2 linked regions of the Lytechinus pictus genome follow. Each later gene encodes a partner of the first gene's protein in a complex. Links are inferred from orthologs where the notes say so. Each region holds a gene or a part of one and is shown on either strand. Other genes may lie near its edges. The genes, in order: iron-sulfur cluster assembly scaffold protein IscU-like and LYR motif-containing protein 4-like.

The links.
Region 2: iron-sulfur cluster assembly scaffold protein IscU-like (region 1) and LYR motif-containing protein 4-like share a complex: the UniProt entries of both Drosophila melanogaster proteins name them as parts of the mitochondrial core iron-sulfur cluster (ISC) assembly complex. The link is inferred for Lytechinus pictus from reciprocal best matches to the Drosophila melanogaster genes IscU and bcn92.

The regions. Positions count from the first base shown.
Region 1 is NC_087248.1:21,450,217-21,457,542, reverse strand, and holds the start of iron-sulfur cluster assembly scaffold protein IscU-like, read right to left. Parts: upstream 3,055-7,326; 5' UTR 2,831-3,054; coding exon 2,726-2,830; intron 650-2,725; coding exon 536-649; intron 1-535. UniProt on the Drosophila melanogaster protein: Scaffold protein for the de novo synthesis of iron-sulfur (Fe-S) clusters within mitochondria, which is required for maturation of both mitochondrial and cytoplasmic [2Fe-2S] and [4Fe-4S] proteins.
Region 2 is NC_087246.1:65,511,447-65,519,701, forward strand, and holds the start of LYR motif-containing protein 4-like, read left to right. Parts: upstream 1-5,179; 5' UTR 5,180-5,411; coding exon 5,412-5,503; intron 5,504-6,470; coding exon 6,471-6,591; intron 6,592-7,129; coding exon 7,130-7,198; 3' UTR 7,199-8,255. UniProt on the Drosophila melanogaster protein: Stabilizing factor of the core iron-sulfur cluster (ISC) assembly complex that regulates the stability and cysteine desulfurase activity of Nfs1 and participates in the [2Fe-2S] clusters assembly on the scaffolding protein IscU.

The sequences.
Region 1 (7,326 bases):
AGGGGGAGAGGGAGAGAAAGAGTAAGAAAAACAAAGAAAGAAGAAAGAGAGAGAGATTAAGATATCTTTTTTTTCTTTATTATAGATTATTTCAGAGCAATTACCTATTTCTTTTACCCCAGTGAGTACACAACTTTGGTATGGAGAGTAATCTGCCTTTGTTCCTCAAATTGGCACGGTGTTGCCAATTTAAAGTCAGTGCTGATAATGCAAAGTCAATTGAGACTTGTGAGCATTCAAGATAAAGAAAAATACTGGTTACATTCTTAGGAAAATCCTGCCTGATATCTCACTGATTTTACTATTTAAATAAAATTTAAAAAAAAAACAAAAAACACCGAAATGAATGAATGAATGAAAAATGCTTTGCAAAATGACTTATTGATATTCATTTTATACTTTGAACTTGACATCTCTAGATGTTGTCATTAACAGCTGAACAATATTTTTTCATAATTGTTACTTAACCTTATATTCTAATTTTACAGTCAGTCACAAGAATCATAACGGAATAACTTTCTAAATCAAAGCTTACCTGTAGTTTCATGACGTCACCACATGCTGGTGCACCAACCAACCCTGTGCCAACATTCTTGTCATTCTTGTCCATTGCTCCAACATTCCTTGGGTTCTCGTAGTGATCTATCACCTAAGAATACAAAGATAAATAGGAGATGAGATCAGTTGGATCAAGACAGGTTAGACTAAGATAAGCTTCACGATGGATTACTACTTGCACACATTTCTTGCACTGTGTGATTGACAAGCAAGTAGCAGATGCTTTGGAGAGTAACCTTGCATTTAAAGAATGAAACGTTTGGAACGAGATAGCTTGTGTGAAAACAGAAAACTCAAAGAAACTGATCAACGAAAGTTTGAGAAAAAATCAGACAAATAATGAAAAAGTTATGAGCATTTGAATATTGCGATCACTAATGCTATAGAGATCCTCCCATTGGCAATGCGACAAAGATGTGTGATGTCACTTGTGAACAACTCTCCCCATTTCTTTAGTATATATTTCACTTGAACTGCCTCTTTTATTACATCTATCAGTAGATCATGTGTTCTTTCTGTAGGAGGGCATGTAATACAGATTTTTAAAGAATACATCATGGATAAAGAGTTTGTATCACCATAACAAAAAGCAAAAGGAGACATTTTGGGGGTATTTTATAGTCCATCAAAGAAAAAGTTGTTCACATGAGACATCACACATCCTTGTTGCATTGCCAATAGGAGGATCTCCATAGCATTAGTGATTGCAATATTCAAATGATCATAACTTTCTAATTATTTGTCAGATTTTTCTCAAACTTTCTTTGTTCTTATTCTTTGATTTTTTCGTTTCGACACAAGCCTACTTATTCCAAAGGTTTCATTCCCCTTTTAACTACGTTTCAAAGGTATTGTATTTATTGGTAGACTCTACCCATATTTTATCAAATAATCATAAGAATTGCACATAGGGTCTACAAAGAATTTAGACACAGTTATAAAACTACTGACGAGCTGAATTAAGGTTGTGAATATTAATAGCGCGGCACTTTTAAAATTAGCAACCCTAATTTAGCTCGTTAGCGCCACCATCAGGCATGTCGGGCTTCCTTTTACTTCTGTGGAAGAGTATGCAACACCACTTTCGAGCTTTCCAAAAAAGTAAGCAACTTTTCTATTCTTTAAATTGAATTTCAATGTTTAAATCTACTTCTGTTATGAAGTGATGTTTACTGACTTCTCAAAAATCCACTGTCACTGACTCACGGCACTGACTGTGACGTGTAGTGCCTGGTTAGTATAGCTATAGCTAACCTCGAATTGGGCGACGTGATACACATGCAGGCAGGCTCGCACTAACACACTACCATGACTACCGTCGGTGGGTGGGGATTACATACTAAAAAATGTAAGAAATTGGGCGCTAATGCAGTTTCGCACCGGCCGATTACCAGCATACCTCATCACCACTAAATTTACTTGTCCCCAAATGTCATGACAAGTCTCTCAGTCACATTTCGAGGTCAATATATACCTACCTCTTTTCCAAATATCGCGATCAGGAACGGCTGTATTTCAGCTTTGATCTCAATGTCGTTGTTCGAATCCTCAGACATCACTTCACGGATCTTGGCCTTGGATTCGCCGGGCACCGTAATGTTGATGGACTGAAGTTAGCAACCAAATCATGCGAACATGTGGCGAACTGCCAGCATGCTGCAGCTAGGCGAATCTTTTGCCTTGGTCGCATAACTTCAGTCCAAAAAGGTGGGTATATTGACCTGGAAATGTGACTGACAGACTTGTCATGACATTTGGGAACAAGTATTGGTAATGAGGTATGCTGGTAATCGGCTGGTGCGAAACTGCATTAGCGCCAATTTTGAGGAAAAATTTCAGACTTAAAACTTTTCCATTATTACAAAATGGTATTGGTATTACATGTTCCTATTTATAGGGACATGAGAAAGGGGCTTAACATTATACCTTACAGTATTGTTAAGCGTAAGCCCCTTTCTCATGGTTTGCTGCAACTAACTAACTACACATTTGACCGGAAACTGCCACCTGGTTTTACCAACTGCAACCTTACACACAAACTCAGCTCCGCGCGCTCTCACTCGGCTTTGATACTAGTACCAGTGGTAGTGGTACTGTAGCCGTGTAGGCAGCCTTCTCATCTCATTCTTCTCATAATTTTCTGGTCGCCACAAAAAGATGTACTCACATTTTTATGATACGAGGCTGATGCAGGAACCGGTTGAACTAACTTTGTTGCCAGTAGAGGCCGCAAAGTCTTCCCAAGTAGTCGTGCATTGCTTGAAATTGGCATTTTGATGTCACAAATTTGTATTCGTCGCAGTCAGAATAAGCGAAAACAGCGGATTGCGTAAAGTTGTTTATCATTATCACGTGACACATGTCACGTCACATGGCCTATGGGTAAATATTAATTAAAATAAGGATTTCCCCTCTCAGTCTCTCTCCCCCCCTCTCTCTTTTCCACTCTTTCGCTCCCTCCCTTAATATTATGTTATCATAGACCATTTTATCCACCGTAATACATTGGATGAAGACAGAGAGAAAAAAAATGAATCTACAAATAAAAAATGAATGAATGAATAAATAAATTAATTAATTGAAAAAAAAAAGATAAATAAATGAATGAATGAATGAATGAATGAATTAATGAATGAATAAATGAATGAATGAATTAAATGAATAAACAATAAATCAATAATTAAATGAGAACGAAGAAATAAACGAGACAAAAAGTTGAATAAGTAATAAATAAATGCATAAATTACTTAATGAAATAGATAAAGAAATTAAGCAACGAAGAAAAATTAACAGTAAGGCAGAACTTCCAATAGGCCCTATATATATTTATGCCTATTTTTCTATTTTTTTGTCAAGGATTCTAATTACACTATACATAATAGTTGCAAATAGTGGCAAATTAACACGTATTTCTTCTTTTTCATGTACACGTACTCTACAGTTGTAAATATTGGCATTTCTTTATGTATTAGTTTCAGATTATATCAATTGCAAATTAAGACTTCATATTTCTTTTTGATCCTGCAGACCTGACAAGCTTTGCTTTTTTTAATGCAGGTTCCCTAATATTTCACCATATTTTGAACTGTCCTTGATTTCAAATCGCCGTATTATTTAATTAAAAAGATGAATATGCTGCCATGTCTTATTTTTCATACGATATTCATTCGGATGTTATATAATTGTGTGAAATATATGTAAGTCAATCACGTTACTATCGAAAATATAGCTCGATACGCCGGCATCGCTTTACATTCTCACGTTCAAGTATCCTAGTAAATGATGATAATAGACACAATTTTTTTTTTTTTTTTTGGGGGGGTCCTTTATATTTTTTTCTTGTTTTTTTATCATTCTGTGCAATAAATCACAGATAATCAATACAAGTAGGGCCTAATTGAGAAAAAGAAATGAGAGAAAAAATAATAGAGCAATAGAATTGTCATCATTTGGAAACAATTAATACGACATATCAATTAACAATGATTAACAAGTAGTTAATGTAGTCACTTTGTCTCTTCTATATACGTATTCCTCATCCCCTATAATAATATTAAAGGGGAAGTTCACCCTGACAAAAAGTTTATTGTGAAAATATCCTAGAAAAAAATAATAAACTAATATTGCCGCCTGAGGTTTGAGAAAAATCGATCAAAGAATAAACAAGTTATTCGAATTTTAATTATTTGATTTGTGACGTCATATGCGAGCAGCTTTCCTACAATATGGCAAAATCAACTGATCAATGAAATGTCATTTTCCCAGAAAATTGAAAATGTTTCTTTTTCTGTGCCTTCAGTATATCAATAGACAATGATTCCGCACCCGTTCCTAAAAAGAAACCAGGAATATTCACGGCCACAAATACGGACCATTACAAAATTGGATGCATTTTATATTACATAACATGTTGGGCTACCCGTTGGGCTATTGCTCGTTTATGACGTCACAAATCCAAAACTTAACCATGTTAAAATTCTTCTCAAACCTTCACCAATATGTTTGATTATTTATTTTTTCTGCCGGCTATTTTTACAACAAACTTTTCTACAGGGTGATCGGGCCCCTTTAAAGGCAAGAAAGTAGCAACAGTGGGATCTTTGCACGCGTTGGGGGATAGTAATGACAATATTATGATTTCCTTGTTATTTTCTTTAATGTAAGATTTTCATATTGCACGGTCATTATTATATAGATGTTATCCAAGAACTATTGCTTTTTTATTAGCTTATCTAATTTGAAGGAAGGGGAGAAAATTTATTATTACGATTGTTGAATTTAATCGCACGAATGGGCAAGATTGCAACATCAGCGCGTAAGAACAAGTTAGATTCAGGCTCATCAAGACATTGTTAGTTGTAAAATAATTATGATAGTAAATAACTTACAACTTAAATCTAAATTCCGAAAATAATTTGTAAGTTTATTATTTTTTCTTGGCAATATGAGATGCGAGACACTGCTAATACCTCGGTCACATTTGCTTTACGGCAGCCGTACGGCGAGTCGAAAGCACCCGTTATATTCATTTTTTCAAACCACCTATATGAAGCTGGTACACAAAATATTTAACGGCTGTTTTCGATTCGCCTTACGGCGGCCGTAGAGCAAACGTGACCAAGGTATTATATGATTGATATTTCTTTCTATGACATTTGAGGGATGAACGGGAAGATAGCCAATCGTGGTGCATCCCATCAAAGTAAGATGGGTCACTCCAAGGGCTACCTGTTCCCTCTAGAAAAATTCCTCACAGACTATTTAAGCTGTGGAACCTAGGGCTACCTAGGCTCGTTATTTTCCTTACTCATTAGTTTAAGGCATGCCGCCGAAGAGGGCACTCAACCATCCCAACCAAAATAAAGATATTTGTTGTAGCAGTTAGTAAAGAGATGCAATGTTATAGATTGCACATTAATTAATAATCCATAGGTGCTGTGCTTATATATAAATGCGTAACCTGGTTGGTAATTAATTGGAAGATAATGAGACTAAAGATTTTTGCGTCTTGATTTTCTGAATAGATTTTTATCCGCATGTTTGCCTGTAAACGATGATCAATCACAAGGAATGATATTCATAATTACTCATACATATTTATGATGTATGGTAAGCCATATGTGCAATAGGAATACAGAATCGCTTGAATAATTCCAAGTGATATAAATGTGTTGGTTTGTTGAATATGAAGCAAACAGGATAAGATATTTAGCTGGTTACAATTTAGGTCAAAACCATATGACTGTCTCGATCCGGGGGAGGAGGGGGGGGGGTGGGAGATATATCCTTAATTATTTGTAGGTGGGAGGGGATGACCTAAGTTATCATCACCCAATAATTCGATAAACATCATAATATATTTCAATATGATGAAGCGTATGACATGTACGATCATAATAGAATGACAATGATGATGATGAATAATAATGATAATAATAATAATCATCATATCAATAATAATACTAATAACATTACTACTACTACTAGTAGTACTACTACTACAACAACAACAACTACTACTACTACTACAACAAGTAAAAATAATAATAACAATAATAATAATAATAATGATGATGATGATGATGATGATTGTACGTCAAGATGGTGGTAGTGATGTTTATTGTATTTACGCTTGATGACAATTGAAAGTGTTTTTCTCATAATGTTCTTGATCGCTTTAGAATGAAACCACTCATTTTTGAAACTGTTACAAACATATAGACGGAAAAAGAAAATAAAAATCAGGATCAAACAGAATAACATGTTCATGTCTCTGTATTGATATATCATATCTTTTTCTTCAAAATTCCTTTTTGTTACCTCTTCCTGCATGCAACCAAGCAAAATGCGGTTTGTCCCGTTTATTTTACCAACATTTGGCATATAATTCATTTTTCATAGTTTTCCTATTCTGGTTAATGATGTGAAATAATTGGAGAACACACGAAATTTGTGAGAAGTAGAGTGTAAGGAAAGAACCTTGAAAACCGATAAGAGTCCTGAAAATAATTTATTTCCAGGTCAATTAAAAAAAAAAAATTAGCTCGAGCTTTAATTGCGAGAGCATTATTGATCTGATCCTATAGTCCTAGACGAACACAACACTGGAAATATCTTGGATGCAAGACGAACTAAATCGTATTTTGAGCTGTTGTCTTGTTTCATTGTAGGCCTGTAACACTCTTTTCAAACACAAATATTTTAATTTCTCTATAGCAATGTAAACGGTTTATATTGGTCTGCAATTCGTTGATTGATCTACTTCTCAGGAATAATTTCTGATAGTCTTATCTGATAGCATAATATCACGGTTTTTTGTCAATTTCGTCTTATTGCCACAATGGTCTACATTTTTAAGGCGTTGCAATTTATTCTCTTCTTGAAGATAAACTCATGTAAAATTGATTTGTCGATCAAGTTATGTGAAACCCCGAAAACCTCCTGCTTTTGCGAATATGACATCTAAATTTGAGTCATATTTGCATACTGAAAGCTTAACTCTTTAATTTTAAAGAATAAAATCAAAACAAAAAACACACAAAAATCATGTATATCTTTGATTTCTCACCCCCTTTTTATTTTTATTTTTTGGTTCAGAGATAGCCATGAATTTAAATCAGATACTGGAGAATCCATTTGTTTTCCCTTATTAAATCTGTAAGTATGAGCGTATTTTATTACTAAAATACAAATAAAAATTGGGCGAAGTAATGTTAATTAAATATCAAATATTTTCGAGAAGCTGTATTCTTTGTCGCGTTTTGTTTT
Region 2 (8,255 bases), on another chromosome or scaffold:
TTGAGTATAACATTTCTCGCAAAATGCCCTAGTAACATTAAAATTGTTCTTTCGTTTTAAATTGTGTGTTATTATTTTTGACAAGCTGTATTCCTGTCCAAGTCAAATTTCTTAGTTCTCTCCAAAACTGTGCTCAAAATTGTTTCCAAGATTGATAAAGAATTTTTTTCTTTTGTATCATTATCAGTCTACAACTTGCAAACCGTAGGTCCTGGAAAGAGTGAAGAAAAAAATGGCTATATCCAAATCATAGTAAAAGGACATGATGGAATCTCCCAGATTGAGGTAGCAAGCCGAGACCAGAAGTCACCAGAGTCAGCAATTGTGCAGATCTGTGTGTAGAAGAGAGAAAAAAAGAAATAGTTTAAATAATCAAATCAAAGTATGAATTTAATTATCGTGATGATTGATGACGTGCGGTGGCATGTAATTCCCGGTCAACAACAAATGATAGTAGGTTTAGACACCTGAAAAGTTCCACTCAGAACACTGGTGCTCTACCTCAAGTGATGTTTGTGTAGGCCCCACTCCACTTCACTACCGCTACACTACCGCACATGTACGCCACACCTACCCGGGTAGGTGTGTAGCGTAGTGTAGGCTGTAGCAGTACTCCAGTAGTGAAGTGGAGACTACACGAACATCACTTGAGGTACGGTGCTCTCTGAGTCTCTGTGTCATTACAAAGATTGCATTTATCTTCATTGTTGAAGGCATTACGCATACATATATGCAGCAACACTCTAATCAGAAAGTAACACCAGACTCTAATTTTGGCCCACCCAAGGGTTCATTACATGCCGCCGCGCACAGAAAATTCAAGCCATAGAAGTCGTGAACCCAAGAAGTGAGATCCCAGCACGCGCGACCCACTAGTTAGAAATCCACTGCCAAACGCGGTTCGTGGTTAGTATACTAATACTAACCTCGCAATACGTACTAGTAGTATACTAATACTAACCTCGCAATACGTGTGAGTGATTTTGGCCAGGAATCAGGGTAATCACTGCTGAAAATTTGTCTGGCTTCATGACATCGGCATCATGGTGTGTAATTCTGTGTATAATAAAAACTTAAACATTCCTCTGAAACAGCAGATTTTCAGCCATGGTCCATACCACTCAGTGCTCCTAAATAATTTAATCGCCTGCCTGAGTCCTGACCAGTTTTAGAAATCTGAAGAAAAAATCTGCTGGAATTGTGCCACTCACACGTATTAAGTATACTAACCTCGCACCACGAACCGCGTTTGGCAGTGGATTTCTAACTAGTGGGTTGCGCGTGCTTAGCCTGGAGGCGTCTGGGATCTCACTTCTTGGGTCCACAACACACGACTTCTATGGCTTGATTTTTCTGTGCGTGGCGGCATGTAATGAACCCTTGGGTGGAATTGTGCAAAAACATTATTTCTAAAATAAAAACTTTTTAATTTTGATAGTAGTTATGCCAAAATGCATGATTCTAAACTTATATCAGATCTGTATCTGTCATCTGACCTGAATGCATCGTCAGAACAAGTACAGTTTCCAAACATGCTTACCTTGACTTTTGACTGGATCAAACAGCGTAGCCTGCAACATGCATCGGGAGCAAGTGAATGGGACCGTGCAGCTTGGAGTTTTTCAATAGTTAGTAGAGCAACACAACGAAGACTGTCGAGTGGACAAAATCGATCTTTCCAGTTCACAATTCAATAAAAAACGGGCAAAATAACACAGTTCTGGTTCCCTTATAGTCTGAAGTTGTCGAAAACAGAATTCGGATGTCACATTACATGAAGAAAACGGTAAATTCGGAAGATATTGAAGAGGTCAGTAAGGTGATTCAGTGTATTATGCACAGAGCTAGAGGGATGATGAGCTCGATTATTGTGTGACGTCATTATTCTCGACTGTTTTCACTGCGTGAACTCATCGGTCTGGGGGCGGCTGGGGGGCTTAGAATGGTCTCTAATAATTTCATTTCTTGCATTTCCACGACATCAATAAGACTTTTTAGTGACATATTTGTGTATAAAAAGACAAGACCTTTCCATTCATATATAATTTGTCTATAATCATCACAAATCGTGAATTTTCTTTGGATGTATACTTTAAAGAATTTAACCGATAGAGGTAGAGGGGGAGGGGTGGGGGCTAGGGCTGGACAGTCAGCCTAGGGACGTTTTCCAAGTGTTCAGAAAAAAAGTGAGTAAAATTCCATTACACATTAAGCTCCGTGATTTAGCTCAAAATTCTGCAAATTTTGATGAATTTAAATCTGCTCGATCCGGATCGACATCATTTTAGGGATATTTATGCCTGATGGCCTCAATTGGGCCGCGTCCAGTCAAATCCAATCCATTTTATATAGGCATATTTGGGGGTATTCAAAAATGTATAAATCAATTAAAATAGCTATAATCTCTGTATCAAAATATCTACAGTTGCCTCTCGGTGCTAAAAATTGCCGGGCTGCTGTTTTTTTTTTTTTTTTGCATCGGTTAGAGATTTCAAGTTTCAAAAGATTAGAATTCATTTGAAGATTTAAAGGATCATAATTATTTCAAAACCTAAATGTTTATATTTTTCCAATAATTACTAGTATTTTTTCCCGTAGTAATGTTGCAGAAATCTATCATTTCGACTAATGCTTGTATGATACACAATTATTTTTATTACGAAAAGTGCTTGAACATATTTCGTTTTCAGCTCTTATGATCAAACTAAATTGTTCAGCCCACACTTAATTGCCCTCGCATTGGTTGTATAGGCATTTTGTTCATTAATTTTTATTACAAAAAGTGTTTGAAATGGTTTCGGGTCTGAATGTTATACAAAAATGTTCAGCTTGTATTATTGATTTTGGATAATTATCATTAACAATAATGTTCCTTTTTCAGATCACCGTTGACCCATACAGGCGCGGATCCAGGAGGGGGCCGAGCCGGCCCCGGCCCCCCCTATTTTTTGTCAACCTGCAGAAAAAAAGTATACTCTTTAACTTGATAGAAACTACGAAAAACGGCCGACCCGACCCCGAAAGGAAACAAGAAAAAGGTGAGGGGAAGAATTGAAAAATAGACTTTATATAATAATTTGTGCTCGCGTTTCGCGCTCGCATTGCCTGTGTAATGAATCCCATTCAAGAGGATTAAATGACACTTAATATAACCAGTTCTATAATCAATTTGCACACAATATTTTAGCTCACACATCAAGCTTTCATTATTATGTTTGATTTACACAAATTGTTAATGTATATCAAAATTTTCAGCTCGCGCTGCGCGCTCGCATTGTTTGATTAGTGAGATACCTATCCTCTTTGAAAGTTTTTACCAAAATTTGTCAAAATGCTCCTTTATCATGTAAATATATCAAAAAATTAAGCTCGTGCTTCGCGCTCGCATTTAATTGTTTGAGACACACAGCCTGTTCTTTATTTAAATAAAAAACGCGCTTAGACTGTTCAATTTTCAGGTCGGAATATCAAAAATTTTGAGCTCGCGCTTCGCACTCTCATTATTAAATTGGTGATACTTGTATCCTCTTCATTAATCACTAATCACTAATTGAGTCCCTTTTCACGTTACTATAATAAAATTTCGGCTCGCGCTTCGCGCTCGCATTGTTTAGTTGTTCATGAATATAAAAACTGCTCAGAATCTTCAATTCTAAGGACATCAAATATCAAAGAATTTTCGCTCGCGCCTCGCGCTAGCATTATATATCAAGACCACATGAGATACCTTAACTTGTTTATAACAAAAAAACTAACATATACTAAAAACTTCAGTCTTTAGTTAGGACTACCCCCTGAAAAGCCAACAAAAAATCAGATGATAGCGGCCAATCGAGAAAAATGTTGATGAAAATATTTTTCGGCCCCCCCTATTGGAGAAAGCTGGATCCGCCCCTGCCATAGGCCCGCTGTATAAAAATTTTCAGCTGTTGCTCATCGTATACTTTTTCGTTGTTAAGTCTATAGATCTCAATATTTTTTTTAGCTTGCTCCAATTAAGTTCGCACTTGGCATTTTTAGCGAGATACGAGACGTATCGATCTATTTATGATCAAATATAAAAATAGTGCTCAGATCAGGTTATTCGGGTTTATAATATATCAAAATCAGTCAGTCAGTCCTTGAAATAATCCTCTATATATCTACTGATTATAATTTTGTAAAGCAAATGTTAAAGGTCTCAAGGACTACCCCCTTTGTGACAGATAATTTTTTTCCCGACTCTCCATATTGGCACTCCGATTGGACATTGCTGGATCTGTCCCGCCATCAAGGGTCAGGTCCCGACGATTCTTAAGAGGCGGTGTTGTTTTGAATTTGACAAGCAAGCAAGCATGCAAAAAAAATGAAGGTGATTTTGATCCAAGAAAAATTTAGAAAAACGGGGTAAAATATTAAATGGATCTTTCATTTTCAGATTTTTTTGGTAAATCAAATGCTTGCTCGCGAAACTTAATTTAGATAGTGACACAACATTTGCTCCGGGCCTTATTTTTGTCTAAGATGGAGGGTTATAATTATAGAGCAGGGAGTCTCGGTCTGGTTAGAGTTAGTATAGTATACATGGTAAAATTATGTTAGGTTATTAGGGTAAGGTTTAGGGTAGGTAGGATGTAAGGTTTAGGATAGGATATATAGGCCTAATATAGTGTTAAATCCAGCCGTTGAATTCAGTCATTCGACTGTCGCCGGAGCAAACGGGAACCGTTTTTACAGACCCCCCCCCCCCCCCCGAGGCACCCGGTCATGGCAACTCGGAGTAGAGTGGATGATGATGATGATGCACAGCATTTTTATCAGTAGCGCCATATATCTGTCAAAGATACAAATAAGGCGCATTTTTGAAGGAGCCAGCCAATCTGGGTCCTATATAGTGCATACATTAACCAAAAATGATAAGAATTTTCCCTCCCTATGCATGAACATGATGGCCCTGGGAAGCGATCGAGGATGCACCCCAAGATTCAACTTGGGGTGCTGACTGTACCGTACATGTGTTATTCACCATGTATTAGTAAAAAAATAACTTTTTTTGGGGGGGGTCCAATTTTTCCTAGTACCGAAATCACCATCATTTTGTAGCGATCGACCCCCCTTTTCTTTGCTTGTCAAATTTAAACCAGCACCCCCAATACAAAAATCGTTCCCGTGTGTATGAAATCACTTACATCATTCTTTCACAGATGGTAAGGAGTGCATTAGCAATATACTCCCGCATTTACTTCCCCTGAATCGCCACGCACTGATCAGTGTGTACCGCTTAGAATGAGTTATCACACAAAGTAATCACATTATTTTATTTTGGGTCCAACACATGCAGTCAAGTCGAAAACGGCAATCATTGATGTCTATTGCGTTTACTCTTCGCTGAACGAACGTGAAGCCTCCAGTAGAAATAATTTTACGGATAAATGGCCGCTGCTCAAGTTCATAGGATGAAAATATTGAGCCTGTACAGAGAAATGCTACGGGAAGCCCAGAAATTCACTGGATATAATTACAGGTTAGAGTGGAAATTCCATGCTTTAATAATGCACGTTTTTTATGTATGACATATATATAATATTTAGTCCCATGTACTCGAAACGACGTATGGTAATGATATTCATTATGTAACACCTTTCATTTCATATATTTTTACGAACTACATGTACTCAAAAGTTCAAAACTCACAAAATTTAGATCTAAGTTGATTTCATATTGTAAATTACTGATCACTTGGAAGCATAGGTGCTCTATTATAATATGGTCAATTTATGTAGCAAGAAAGTAGAATAATTATTAATATTATGACATGTTTTTGAAGTATAATTATAAAACTAAAAGTTCACCACTCATCGAATCCGACCAATTTGATTGAAATTCATCTGCAAAAAAAAACAACCATGTTGCCATATAAAAGTAGATTTTTACCCTTGGGCCTGGCCTTATGAATAAACAAAATTTTACTTTGCATTCAAACCAACTTTGCATATGACGTGTAACTTTATTTATTTTTTGCTTTTTATGATGAAAACAGTAACTTTTCCTTCCTCAGCTCAGCCTGAGAGTGAGAGACATGGTAATGGCTGCATTTACCGTTAAAGGCATTATGGATGTACAATGTAATTTGTAATTGTAGAGCATAAGAGCTACATCATACAGTATCTATGCACCTGCAGGTAAATGTTATATAAATCATTGCTATTTACTAAAAACATGATAGACCTTGTTAGGTTTTTATAATGATATTTTAGCTTAATGATGAGGTATTTTCAGGGAACTGATGTAATTTTAAACAAAATTGTTATGATGTCAAATTACTGTGCTCTATAATTTTTGGCATCTATCTATCTATCTATTGATATATCTATTTATGTATTTATCTATCTATCTATCTACATGTATCTATCTAATAATCTATCTATCTCTCTCCCTGTAATCATTGTTCTAATCTGTTTCTTTTTTTTTTCATTTCTTTTTATTGTCAGGACGTATGCAGTGAGGAGGATACGAGATGCCTTTCAAGAACACAAAGCAGAAACAAATCCAGAGCTTATAGAAGGATACATCAAGAAGGCTGAGGATAATTTGAACATTATCAGAAGACAGGTAATATAGACAAACACTGTATTCAGTCCCAGGGGTAGTGCCAGTGTATTTTGATAGGGAGGAGAAGGGGGGAGGGGCAAAGCAACAGGACAACCTAAAGGGGAAGTCTATTTATAGAGTAACATGATGACCCATACATGTACTTGTCATTTTGATACTCTACTTTGTTCTTTTTTTCTTTATTTTTTTCTTTGCAAATCACAATCACAATCAATCAATGTACAATGTACGTCTGGAGGCAAACAAACTAAATTGTGTTACAGAAAGCCATATGATGGATGTTTGGCCCAGAATATATAGATTTTAGTTGTCATAAGGTTAATAAAAAAAACCATATATTCAAAGAAGGGTCTCTGAACATAGACTGACAAATCTTGATACAATCGGATGGAGCTTACTGTACATGTAGTAATAGTAGTAGAAGAAGTAATATTAGTAGCAGTAGTAGTAGAAGCATTAGCAAAAGCAGTAGTTGTAGGAGTAGTGTCAATGTTAACTTGAAGTCAAGTATAATGTTAACTTTCACTTATTCTTAAAGGCCACTATCAGCCAACTTTACAGGGAACCTAAGCTGGTTATTGAAAGTGATTCAGTGAAGACAAGCTAACCAAAGAAAGTGTCAACTTCTGGACAGTTTCCTATGCAAATAACAAGGATGATGTAAGTGACAGTATCTGAGGATTTGGGGAAGCAATATTTTGACTCCCAAATATTACTTGTCTCTTCTGATGAAGAACTTGTTTCCCATTTTAATCAGAGGGAGAGGATACCAGATGAAAGAATGATTGCATCATTGCAGCTATGGAATAGAATGAGATGGAGACAAATATTTCATGAATTTTTAGTTTGAGGTGTGCTTGTTCCTAAGCTCATAATGTGTACATGTGTCATGTGCATGTTACATGTCATCAATTTTTAACATGCTGGCATTTCATTTAAAGTGGGGAGGGTGGGTTCAAAACAAGGTAAATGAATAGATAAAAAATATTCAAAGGATTTTTGATGAACATCAAAATTTTATATGACACCTGTCATCAATAGTGAAAATGAAAAGGTTGTCATTTGACCCAGATGCTTTTTCCCAGATTTGCCATGAGATATGTACTTGTTTATTGTTTAAACTTTGATAGGTGAAAGTGGAATGTATTTTTTAATAATTATCTTTACCCAAGATTCTCCTTTTTTCTGAATATTTCTGGATATGGCTGTATTCAAGCAGCTAAGCATTGGTCTATGGTCATAATAAAGAATTAAGAATCCGTTCAAAACAAAATCATGAAAACAGGCCTGCATGAAAAGCTAGAATTAGTGTGTTTTGGATAATTATTTTGAAGATTCTAGATAGCTAAAATTCACTTGAACAATGGAGATTCAATCCTTCGTGAATGAAGTCATTATATAGCCTGCATCTTTTTCTGGCATGCACTTACATCACTTACATTCATCAGGTTTAAACTATAATTCCTGGTTCAAACTATGGACCTACATGGTCAAATTATGCAGTAGTGTGGCAGTATCAAGACTTGAATGTGGGAGGATCAACATTGATAAATTTCACTGGAACAGTCTCCCACAATCGGTCCCACAATCGGTCACACTGAGTGTGTGTGTTGTATCAGATTTTTGATGTATGACTTTTGCTTCATGATATTAGTTTAAAGGTG